Linked DNA regions of Ovis aries. The protein of the gene in region 1 purifies or fractionates together with the protein of each later gene. This does not show direct contact. Links are inferred from orthologs where the notes say so. Each region holds a gene or a part of one and is shown on either strand. Other genes may lie near its edges.

Region 1 (3,648 bases):
AGAATGAATAGATACAGAAGATAGAGGAAAGAATTACATATTGAAGTAACAATCAACTTAAGGAGGATTTGTAGCAATCTCTTTTAGATTCATCATAAGACAGGAATAGCCTTTCTTCTCTGTTCTTCATGGTGAAGTCACTCAGTCATGTCCGACTTATTGCGACCCCCATGAACTGTAGCCTATCAGGCTCCTCCATCCATGGGATTCTCCAGGCAAGAGTGCTGGAGTGCACTGCTATTTCCTTCTCCAGGGGATCTTCCTGACCCAGGAATCGAACCCGGGTCTCCCACATTGCAGGCAGATGCTTTACCATCTGAGCCACCAGGGAAGCTAGGGAAATCCAAAAAAGCCTCTGATGCTTATCAGACCACACCACATCTAAGTTCCTCAAGAAATCTCAGCTATTCTTAGATGGAAGCAGGAAAAATTAGGGAAGTAATCCCTTTTTCTAGAATGACCCAGCACACAAACACCTAAAGGAAGAAAAGAGAATTTAAATGGGAGGATAAACTGAACAAGATATCTTACACTATTTGATACCTGTAATACTTGGACCTCTAGCTCATATTCACTGTTCTGAGAGAAGAGTTTCCACTAACACTCCATTTTTCAAAGTTGTGGTAATTCCTGATCCAGTCCTCAAAAGATGAATGCTGATTTTCTTTTGCAGAAATGGGCATGTAGTGAATTAATATATTATGAAATACGAGATGATACAGGAGTGATGGAAGTCGTGGTTTATGGACAGCGACTAACCAGTATCAACTGTGAAGAGGGTGACAGACTTACACTCGTGTGCTTTGAATTGGCAGAACGCGGGGCTAAGAGGCAGCTGAGATCTGTAATTCATAGTTACATCAAGGTGAGAGCTTCTGGTGGGTCATCATTGTTCCAAAGTAGAAGTCTTTAAGAAAACTATACTGCTGCTATTACACAGAGAGTCCATCAGGTGAAATAACTAATCCTTGTCATTTAGTGTGTGTGAAGTCCCTTTTCATCATTCTTTTTTTTTTTTTTTAAGGATATTTTAAAATGTAGGTTAAAGTGTACAGCAAAGGGATTCACTTACACACACACACACACACACATATTTATATATTGTATTCACACATACACGTGTATATATATTCATTTCAGAATCTTTCCCATTGTAGGTTATTATAAGAAATCAAGTATAATTCTCTGAGCTATACAGTAGGTCCTTGTTACTTACCTATTTTATATATTGTAATGTGTATATGTTAATCCTAAACTCTTAATTTATTTCCCCTCCCCCCAACACTATCCCCTTTGGTAACCATAAATTTGTTTCTGTGTCTGTCAGTCTTTTCCTGTTTGGTAAGTTCATTTATATCTTTCTTTCTTTCTTTCTTTCTTTTTTTTTTTTCTTTTTTAGAATCCACATGTAAGTAATATCATATGATATTCGTCCTTTGTCTGACTTACTTCATTCAGTATGAAAATCACTAGGTTCATCCATGTTACTGAAAATGGCATTATTTTATTCTTTTTATGGCTAAGTAGCATTCCATTGTTACCCCCGATCTTCTATATTCATTCATCTGTCAATGGGCGTATAGGTTACGTACATGTCTTGGTACTGTAAATAGTGCTGCTATGAACATTGGGCTGCATGTATCTCCTCAAATTAGTTTTCTCCAGATATTTGCCCAGGAGAGTGATTGTAGGATAATATGGTAACTCTATTTTTAGTTTTTTAAGGAACCTCCATACTGTTCTCCAGAGTGGATGCACCAATTTATGTTCACACCAACAGTGTAAGAGGGTTTCACTTTCTCCACATCATCTTCAGCATTTGTTACTTTAAGACTTTTTAGTGATTGCCATTCTGACTGGTGTGAGGTGACAGTCATTGTATTTTTGATTTTCATTTTTCCAATGATAAGCAATATTGAGCATCTTTTCATGAGTCTGTATTCCATCTATATGTCTGCTTTAGAGAAATGCTTATTTAGTCCTCTGCCCATGTCTTGATTGGGTTTGAGTTTTGATATTAAGCTGTATGAGCTCTTTGTATATTTTGTAAATTAATCCCTGTTTTTAGCATCCATTGCAAACACTTTCTCCCAGTCTGTGGGTTGTCTTTTTGTTTTATTTATGGTTTCCTTTGCTATGCAAAATCTTTTACGTTTGATTAGGTCCAATTTGGTTATTTTTGTTTTTATTTCCATTACTCTAGGGGGCTGATCCAAAAAATATTGCTTCAACTTACTTCAAAGATTGTTCTGCCTATATTTCTGATAGGAGTTTTAGTGTATCCAGACTTACATTTAAGTCCTTAATCCATCCTGAGTTTAATTTTTAATGGTGTTAGAGAATGTCCTGGTTTGATTCTTTTAGACATACCTATCAAGTTTTCCCATCACCACTTACTGAAGAGACTGTCTTTTCTCCATTGTATATTTTTGCCTCGTTTGTCATCAACTAATTGGCCATAAATGCGTAGGCTTCTTTCTGGGCTCTCTAGCCTGTGCCATTGATCTATATGTCTTTTTTTGTGTGTGTGTGGCAGTACCATACTATTCTGATGACTATAGCTTTGTAATATTGTCTGTAGTCAGGGAACATGATTTGTCCAGCTCCATTTTTATTTCTCAAGATCATTTTGGCTATTTGTGGTCTGTTGTAGTTTTATGCAAATTACAAACTTTTTGGAGTTCTGTAAAAAATGCTACTGGTAATTTGATAGGGAGTGCATTAAATCTGTACATTGCCTTAGGTAGTATAGTCATTTGAACAATATTGATTCTTCTAATCCAGGAACATGGTATATCTTTCTATCTGTTTGTGTCATCTTCAGTTTCTTTCATTAACATCTATTAGTTTTCATTTAAGGGTATTTTTAATCATATTAAAGAGAGAAACTTCAGAAAGTCTATCAAAATCTATATCTAAGCTGAATATTATAAAGTTGTTTGAATTTTAAGATCAGGTGGATTAATTATTAAATTTTGACTTTTTAAGGCAAATTTATTTTGAATACTGGTTCTATGATTTGCTAGTTGACTAATAACTTAAATACTAAAAACTTCTGATTCAACATCTATAAAATGGAGGAAATATCTTTTATCTCAGAGGGTAGTTACTTGCCCATTTCAGATCTATTAATAAATGATCAAGGATGCCTCTGAGCCTTTCAGAACACAAAGTTACCTGCCTTTGGTGAGATACACATGTTGGTCAACAACAGAGGTGATTGGTCCTATGGGACAAATTCCATGATTTTTGTCAAACTCACACATTCATGTGGAATGGATTCTTTGAATACTAACAAAGGCTACTAATGGCATACTTTGCTTTATTATACTTCACTGTCTTGTGCATCATAGATATTTGCTTTTTCTTTGGTTTGTTGTACAAATAAAGGATTTGTAGCAATCCTGTGTAGAGTAAGTCTCCTGGAGTCGTTTTCCCAAAACATTTTTCACGTTGAGTGTCTGTGTCATATTTGGCAATTCTCCTAATATTTCAAGCTTTTTCTTGAATTCTTGTATTTGTCATTTTGATCTGGGGTTAGTGATCTTTGATGTTACTATTGAAATCATTTTGGAGTGCCATGAACTGCACGCTTGTATAAGACGGGGAATTCTTTAATAAATGTTATCAATGTTCTGACTGCTCCAC
Region 2 (4,142 bases), on another chromosome or scaffold:
TGGGATTGTGAAGTGAACGTGTAAATCGCTCAGTTGTGTCTGACTCTGCGATCCCATAGGCAGTAGCCCGCCAAGCTCCTCTGTCTGTGGAATTCTCCAGGCCAGAATACTGGAGTGGGTTGTCATTCCCTTCTCCAGGGGATCTTCCTGACCAAGGGATCCAACCCAGGTCTTCTGCATTACAGGCAAATTCTTTCCCATCTGAGTCACCAGGGAAGCTTGTATTTGGAGTGATTTATTTATTTATTTATTCAGTTCAGTTCAGTTGCTCAGTTGTGTCCGACTCTTTGCGACCCCATGAATCGCAGCAAGCCAGGCCTCCCTGTCCATCACCATCTCCCGGAGTTCACTCAGACTCACATCCATCGAGTCAGTGATGCCATCCAGCCATTTCATCCTCTGTTGTCCCCTTCTCTTCCTGCCCCCAATCCCTCCCAGCATCAGAGTCTTTTCCAATGAGTCAACTCTTTGCATGAGGTGGCCAAAGTACTGGAGTTTCAGCTCTAGCATCATTCCTTCCAAAGAAATCCCAGGGCTTATCTCCTTGCAGTCCAAGGGACTCTCAAGAGTCTTCTCCAACACCACAGTTCAAAAGCATCCATTCTTCGGTGCTCAGCCTTCTTCACAGTCCAACTCTCACATCCATACATGACCACTGGAAAAACCATAGCCTTGACTAGAAGGACCTTAGTCAGCAAAGTAATGTCTCTGCTTTTGAATATCCTATCTAGGTTGGTCATAACTTTTCTTCCAAGGAGTAAGCGTCTTTTAATTTCATGGCTGCAGTCACCATCTGCAGTGATCTTGGAGCCCAAAAAAATAAAGTCTGACACTGTTTCCACTGTTTCCCATCTATTTCCCATGAAGTGATGGGACCAGATGCCATGATCTTCGTTTTCTGAATGTTGAGCTTTAAGCCAACTTTTTCACTCTCCACTTTCACTTTCATCAAGAGGCTTTTGAGTTCCTCTTCACTTTCTGCCATAAGGGTGGTATCATCTGCATATCTGAGGTTATTGATATTTCTCCCGGCAATCTTGATTCCAGCTTCTGTTTCTTCCAGTCCCGCGTTTCTCATGATGTACTCTGCATAGAAGTTAAATAAGCAGGGTGACAGTATACAGTCTTGACGTACTCCTTTTCCTATTTGGAACCAGTCTGTTGTTCCGTGTCCAGTTCTGTTGCTTCCTGACGTGCATACAGATTTCTCAAGAAGCAGGTCAGGTGGTCTGGTATTCCCATCTCTTTCAGAATTTTTCACAGTTTATTGTGATCCACAGAGTCAAAGGCTTTGGCATAGTCAATAAAGCAGAAATAGAAGTTTTTCTGGAACTCTCTTGCTTTTTCCATGATCCATCGGATGTTGGCAATTTTTTAACCTTCCTCTTTACACATTTTTCTATTGTCTTGCTATTCTTAAAAAACAATTCCTTCACAAACATACACACACAGACCTAAATCCCACTGACACCATCACCACCAAAACTGCCCACTTTAAGGGCCAAGCTGTCAACAGCCTCCAGTGAGCCCTGAGACCTGAAGCAAGTCATTGTCCCCTAGGGACTTAAGTTCTCCAGGCTGTGAAACAATCCATCAGGTCAACTAGGCTAGCCCAGACCTCCTCCCAAGAGGAAAACTCCAAGAAACCAGGGGCATCATGAAAGGGACACACTTTACACTGTACACCGTGACACCGAAGCTCCTGACTGTAGGGTATATAGTCAGGCAGGATCTCTTCCTTGCTCTGCAAAGACTCTCAAGGAAGGCACATCCATCTCCACTTGACAGATGAGACAAGGCTCACAGAAGCTGAGAGGTGTCTCTCAAACCCCAAGTTCCAGTCTCACACCCTCCTCACATACTACATCAACAGCAGTGGTTTAAACAGCATCTATTCACTGGTGTAATAACTACCTGTGGAAGCCGACACGTCAGGCACTACGTTAGGCACTGGGGGGACTCGGGGTGCTGTGTGTATAAGTCCCAGGTAGGCACTCTGCAAGAACGGTAGGCTTGCAAGCATCAAACCCCACCTCGTGCCTCTAACCTCTCCACAAAGGCAGGGGCTGCAGCAAATCCGGACATTGACGGATCATCTACTATGTGCCAAGCCCTGGCTCCTGTAATACTCACAAGAATCCTCTGAGTTCGGTAGGTTCTATTATTATCCTCTTTTGACAGACCAGGCACAAAGGGGTTCAGTAACTGTCAGCAAGCTACACGTGCAGTTGGTGGCAAACCTGGATTCACAACGCAGCTACTCCCGGCCCTAAAGCCCCGCGCTCTCAACCATTATGCCCTAAGGGCCTCCTCCTTGGGGATCGAGCTCCCCAAGACTCAAAGAAGGCAAGCGCCTCGATCCCAACATGCAGCAAGCCTGCACAACGCAGTCCGGTGGGGGAACCAACCAACCATCCCGGCTGGAACCCCCTCTGCGGGGTTCCCGGCACCGACTTTTCCATTTTAAAATCCGGAGGAACTGGTCATTCTAACTCCAGGACTTCTTCTATTTCCCCCAGAGCACGAATGAAACTTGAATGCACTTCTTTCTTCCATGCGTTTAAGCCAAAGGAAAGACTCTCTAAAGGTGGAAACGCAGGCAACGGACACAGTGCGCCCACCCTACCCCATTCCACCCCCCGCCCCAGAGCCTGAGCTCCAGCCTCCCAGGTCGGACCTCTGAGCCACCGCCCCTCACCTCTCAGCCAGCGCCCGCCAACGGTTTCAACCCGCCCGGAGAGGAGCACGTGGAATCGCGGCTTCCCGCAAGGCTTAATAACCTGCACCTCCCTCCAGGGCTTCCGCGCGCAGAATTCGCTTCAGAGGCGCCCCGCGACCACACCTCCTGGCGGAAGTGAGGCAACCGGAAGTCAGAGGGCGGGTGCCGCCGGCCCAATGCTGTGGGAGGGGCGGTGTTGTCGCGATGCTTCCGCTGCCGGCTGAGCCCGGCCAGGAGCGCTGAAGGCGGCGGTGGCGGCTGCAGGTGAAGAAGAGGCGACGGGGCGGGAAGCGGTCTCTGAGGGTAAGGTGGGGATTGCTGACTGGTAGGCCGGCCTCGCGAGAGTGTGCGGGGCTAAGGGCGATGGAAACGGCACGGAACCCCGGGCCGGGCGCCCGAAGGGCCGGGCCGGGCAGGTCAGGGCAGGGACCGGCCGCCGCCCCGCGCCGTGAGGGGCCGTGGAGCTGCTGCCGTGGCCGTGAGGTGCTTCTGCTAGGAGACGCGACGACCAGGCCGGGCTCCGGAACGCGTCCTTCACGGCGTGTGCAGCACCTTCGGCCTGGACGCCGCACCCGCTTTCCCCTCCCGGCCGCGCGGGGCACCGCCCGCGGGAGCCGCGGGTCCTGTCTCCTCGCCCCGGCTCCCTCCATCGCCGTGTAAAGTTGAGAGAGTTAGCGCTGAAGACCCCAGAGCTCCTAAAGCCCAGCCCAGTCCCGTGGCCGTGCGACCTCTCCGTGCCTCGGATCCGCGTCTGTAAACGTGTGTTACACTGCCGTGCTTAACTCGATAAGGTTATTGTAGGATTTCCTGCAAAGCACTCAGTAGAGTGCTTATCTGCTCCTCTCAACCCTTAAGGGGCTTCCCTGGTAGCTCAGTTGGTCGAGAATCCGCCTGCAATGCAGGAGACCCGGGTTCAATTTCCTGGGATCGAGAAGATCCGCTGGAGAAAGGGATAGGCTACCGCACTCCAGTATTCTCGGGCTTCCCTGGTGACTCAGCTGGTGAAGAAGCCGCCTGCAACCTTCACTTGGGTAGACCTGGGTTCGATCCCTGGGTTGGGAAGATCCCCTGGAGAAGGGAAAGGCTGTCCACTCCAGTATTCTGGCCTGGGAAATTCCATGGACTCTACAGTCCTTGGGGTCGCGAAGAGTCAGACGCGACTGGGCAACTTTCAGTTTCACGTTGGGGCTTCCCTGGTGGCTCAGATGGTAAAGAGTCTGCCCGCAATGCTAAGGAGTTTGCCAGAAATGTGGGAGCCCTGACTTAAGCTTCTATAGCTCAGTTGGTAAAGAATCCACCTGCAGTGCAGGAGACCCCTGTTGGATTCTTGGGTCGGGAAGATCCACTGGAGAAGAGAAAGGCTACCCATTCCAGTATTCTTGGGCTTCCTGGTGGCTCAGCTGGTAAGAATCCACCTGCAATG
Region 3 (4,084 bases), on another chromosome or scaffold:
ATCTTGCTTTTTCAAATTAAAATTCATTTTATATACTATTTCATGTTAGAACATAAAAAGTTTCCTTCTTTCTTGAAACATGTTTCTTTCAGTTTCTAAGATATATACAATTTAAGTCTTCTTCCTAATTCTCTGGCTCCACCTCAAACCACATTACAGGTTTTTCTACTCACATCTTAAATGCTGGCGTTCCTTAAAATTATTTTCTGGGTTCTCTTATTTTCATGTTACACAGTCTCCATGGTGATTTTACTCATGTCAAAGGCTTTGATTAGCATCTATATAGTAATAATTTGCAAAACTGTTCTCTCTAACCCAGGTCTTTCACTTGAACATTATACCTATACCCAACTCCCTAAGAGACTTAATTTAGATGTTCAATGTGTAAGAAGAAAGACATTTTTTGCTTTTATTTTTAAAATATAATACCTAACATATCATGCTTTTTAAATTCTTCTGAAATTTAGATAGATCTTTAAACGTATCTAACTCAAGCAAGGCCTGTTTTTTTTTTTTTTTTTTTTTAAACAAGTGAAGTACCTGGAGATTAAGTGACAGATGAAGGCCACACCACTAGTAAGAAACAAAATCATGAGAAAAGCTCAGGTATCCTGACTTCTAGTCCCATGCCCTTTTATACATCACAATAGCATGGCTGCCAATGGATCAAATTAAACAGGTCAGGGTAAGAGAATGAGATGTGCACAGGAAGAAAGAAAAGTCAGATATAGTCAAATATTAATACCCTGAAAGTACAAGTTCTGCTGTAGCCAAATGGGTCTGACTCAGAATGATCATATTCCTTAACTGTTTTGAGTACTTGGGAGTTTTTGAACAGGGTGACAAAAGAATAACCTTGACAATTACAGCTCAATTTCATTCCAAGTGAAAAGAAAGCCAGAAGTTTAGAAAACTAAGTGATACTTGGCAACACTGTGAAGAATGCATTAGAGAAAAGCAATACTGTTTCCTTAGCTAACTGCCAGTGACACGGGAAAGTGGTAGCATTGGAATGCCCAAAAGTTATTTACGGTTTTTTTCTTAGTCTGTTTCCCAAATATGCACTGAAAATCTTCAGATCTGCTTTCTAAACAAACTAAAAGCAGAAGCTGGGTCTCTTTCACCATGAATACTGCATTAAAATGTTTTCTCATAGTGACTGAAACATACAGGACTACGATCCTTCCCTAGGAGTGACGACTAAAAGGCAAAGTTATTGCATGAAGAATATTTTAGAACAAATCAATAGAAACTGGAACACAGGAATGTTTTCAGTTACCTGGTCGTTTCTCCTTTGGGTCCTCCAACAGAACGGGTTTCTTAGACACAGCATCTTTTACAGCTTGCCTTAGTTTCCTCTGCTCTTTACGGTACTTCTTGAGAGTGCTTTGTTGTTTAAACTGTTTGTTTTTTAGCTTGTTTTCAAGTTTGACTTTACTAGTTTTCAACAACTTCCGAAAGCTTGGAACCTGTTTTTTATTTCTTCTCTAGAAAACAACAGAAGGGGCACTGAATACCCAGAAAAATAAATGACTTTATTTTTAAAATCAGGTTAAAAAGAATTGATTATTTCATTAGGCCAATTCCACAATTTTAATGTCTCACAGTCACGGGTCTTGCGGATAAGAGTTAAAACCATACTATGGCATTAATCCTACAGAACAGCGCCAGATCAGTTGTTCAACGGGAGGTTCTCACAGTGAGCAGAAATCACAGCGGTTCAAAAGGGTCTAAGACTCAAAAACATGTGAAAAACCACTGAATTACTGGTAAATGGTTATTCAAGGCTAGTTTAACACTTGTAGTTTGGCATACTAAGATTAAAATGTTGGCTGTCTTTAGCAATAACAAGTGACATTTACATATTGCTTAACTGTTTACAAAGTGCTCTAACATATCACCGCCAACAGCCTAGATGTAGTGACTGCTGTTATATTACTGATGAAGCTACAGCTTAAAGAGATCAAGACAAAGACCCTTAAAAGTAAGGAAAACAAAACTGAACTCGCATGTGGATTACAATTTGCTTTTCTATATCCTCACCTTTAGGAAGAAAACAAACAAACAAACAAAAAGACTTAGGTCCCAAGACTCATAAACTTATTGAAAGCAGGACCGTTTCTCGTCTGTAAAATAACGGGTTCAAAAGATGGTCTTGAAGAACTCTTCAAGTCTGACACCTTATGAACTCAAGACTTCGTGCTAATGCCATTGCGGCCCGCTGAAGCCAAGCGTGCTCAGTGGGTGAAAAAGAAGGAGCCAGGTCTAAGGGAGAGGAAGCTGACAGCGCGGAGAGCCAGGAGGGAGCCCTGCTGCTGCTGCTGCTGCTGCTGCTGCTGCTGAGTCGCTTCAGTCGTGTCCGACTCTGTGCGACCCCTTGGACTGCAGCCCACCAGGCTCCCCCGTCCCTGGGATTCTCCAGGCAAGAACACTGGAGTGGGTTGCCATTTCCTTCTCCAATGCATGAAAGTGAAAACGGAAAGTGAGGTCGCTCAGTCGTGCCCGACTCTCAGCGACCCCATGGACTGCAGCCCACCAGGCTCCCCCGTCCTTGGGATTCTCCAGGCACGAGGACTGGAGTGGGGCGCCATCGCCTTCTCCAAGTAGAGAGCCCAGGGAGCCCCTGATCTAGGCCACTGCCGCCGCACCCCATACAACGGCAGCGACTCTGTGACCCAAAAGGGTTCTAAGCCGCGGGGACCAGGCTTCTGAGGACACTTACGGCCTTCATCCTTAAGTGTGCAGGGTACCCCGGCTAGACAAATTCACCAGTGACAGCGGTAATCCAGGAATCCCGAACCCGCAAACACACGTGCGAAATCAGCAACACTGAACCAGCCGGAAACTGCCGCGAGTCCCTCCCCATCCTCCGCCGCCGGATATAGGGGCGGGATTTCCGTAGACGGGGGCTGTCGTGCGCCCTCTCGCGGCCCTAGGCCGACGGCGCCCCGGCTTGTATGCGCATGGCAGCGCACGGCACTATGAATCACCAAAGGTGGGTAATCAGCGGTCTCTCTCCAGGGTCTCTGAATCTTTGACTCCTGCCCAATTTCCTTGCAGTTCTTCAGGAAATCGGGCTTTTCTTCTCAGAACGAGAGGATCTGACTTTTTCAACCATCCTGTATTTTGTGCCCCTCCTCATGTTTAGCTTGTTATAAGATATAGCTCGTGTACTCTTTTTTTTTTTTATAAATACTGATTTTTGTGGGACAGAGAAGAGCTTATTTCATTTGTGAAATACCTGCCCCTTGACAGCTTCTCTGGGCGAGTTTGTGGAATGGCTAATGATTTCTCATGAGTTCCAACACTCAAAAGTCTATGATTCTTAATGTTTTATTTTGAAACCCTTTTTGCCTTAATTTAACCACTGCTTGATAAACAGTTATATCAGTGAGATTCATCTGCATTTCAGTTTTTTATAACTATAGCTTTTCTGTAAATTCTACTGTCTCCTTAGTAATCCCTCCAAAGTCATTAGTTTTAACAGGAAGATTTATGCATTGCAAGAATAACTACGTTTTTCAAAATGATTGTCTTTAAAGATTTTTTTTTTTCATGAATAAATTGAAGAATTCTGCTTTAGTTTTTTTTCCTTGTTTTTGTTTTTAAAGTCTACAATTCTGAGAACATCCTGACAGTCTGGCCTAGCAGTCCTGAGCTAGAGAGGAAAGGCCAATAGAACCTCCAAAGAATCTGAGCTCCCTTGTAGGTGCTGGTCTTTTAGAGACTGAGAAGAAACCTTTCAGTTTCTGGATCCCACTTTAGAGACCAAGAATCCCATTCTATCCAGAACTCTTCTTTCCCTCTCTTCCAACTTCCTCAATTTCCCCACTGCTCTCCTTTACACACATTCTCAGAGACGGCAGAACCTGTCCCACTGGAGTATTACTTCATCAAACAAATTGAAAACATTAGCCTGTCCTCTTCCCAAGAGTCTGAATTCCTCAAACATAATAATTTATCTGTGGTCACTCCCATCCTTTCAGCCTCTTTCTTGTCCAGTCTCTCCAAGGATGAGGCATCTCCACTGCCGTTTGAAACGAACTTCTCCCAGGTTCATCACATTCCATGTATCACTAACTAT

The links.
Region 2: the proteins of interferon-activable protein 203 (region 1) and LYAR purify together in Homo sapiens (affinity purification with mass spectrometry; 3 studies listed by BioGRID and IntAct, with this or other methods). This does not show direct contact. The link is inferred for Ovis aries from reciprocal best matches to the Homo sapiens genes IFI16 and LYAR.
Region 3: the proteins of interferon-activable protein 203 (region 1) and NOC3L purify together in Homo sapiens (affinity purification with mass spectrometry; 3 studies listed by BioGRID and IntAct, with this or other methods). This does not show direct contact. The link is inferred for Ovis aries from reciprocal best matches to the Homo sapiens genes IFI16 and NOC3L.

What each region holds. Positions count from the first base shown.
Region 1 is NC_056054.1:109,945,125-109,948,772, reverse strand, and holds the end of interferon-activable protein 203, read left to right. Parts: intron 1-673; coding exon 674-913; 3' UTR 914-3,413; downstream 3,414-3,648.
Region 2 is NC_056059.1:105,492,993-105,497,134, reverse strand, and holds the start of LYAR (cell growth-regulating nucleolar protein), read right to left. Parts: upstream 2,848-4,142; 5' UTR 2,699-2,847; intron 1-2,698. UniProt on the Homo sapiens protein: Plays a role in the maintenance of the appropriate processing of 47S/45S pre-rRNA to 32S/30S pre-rRNAs and their subsequent processing to produce 18S and 28S rRNAs. Also acts at the level of transcription regulation.
Region 3 is NC_056075.1:15,450,931-15,455,014, forward strand, and holds the start of NOC3L (nucleolar complex protein 3 homolog), read right to left. Parts: upstream 2,848-4,084; 5' UTR 2,732-2,847; coding exon 2,723-2,731; intron 1,488-2,722; coding exon 1,280-1,487; intron 1-1,279. UniProt on the Homo sapiens protein: May be required for adipogenesis.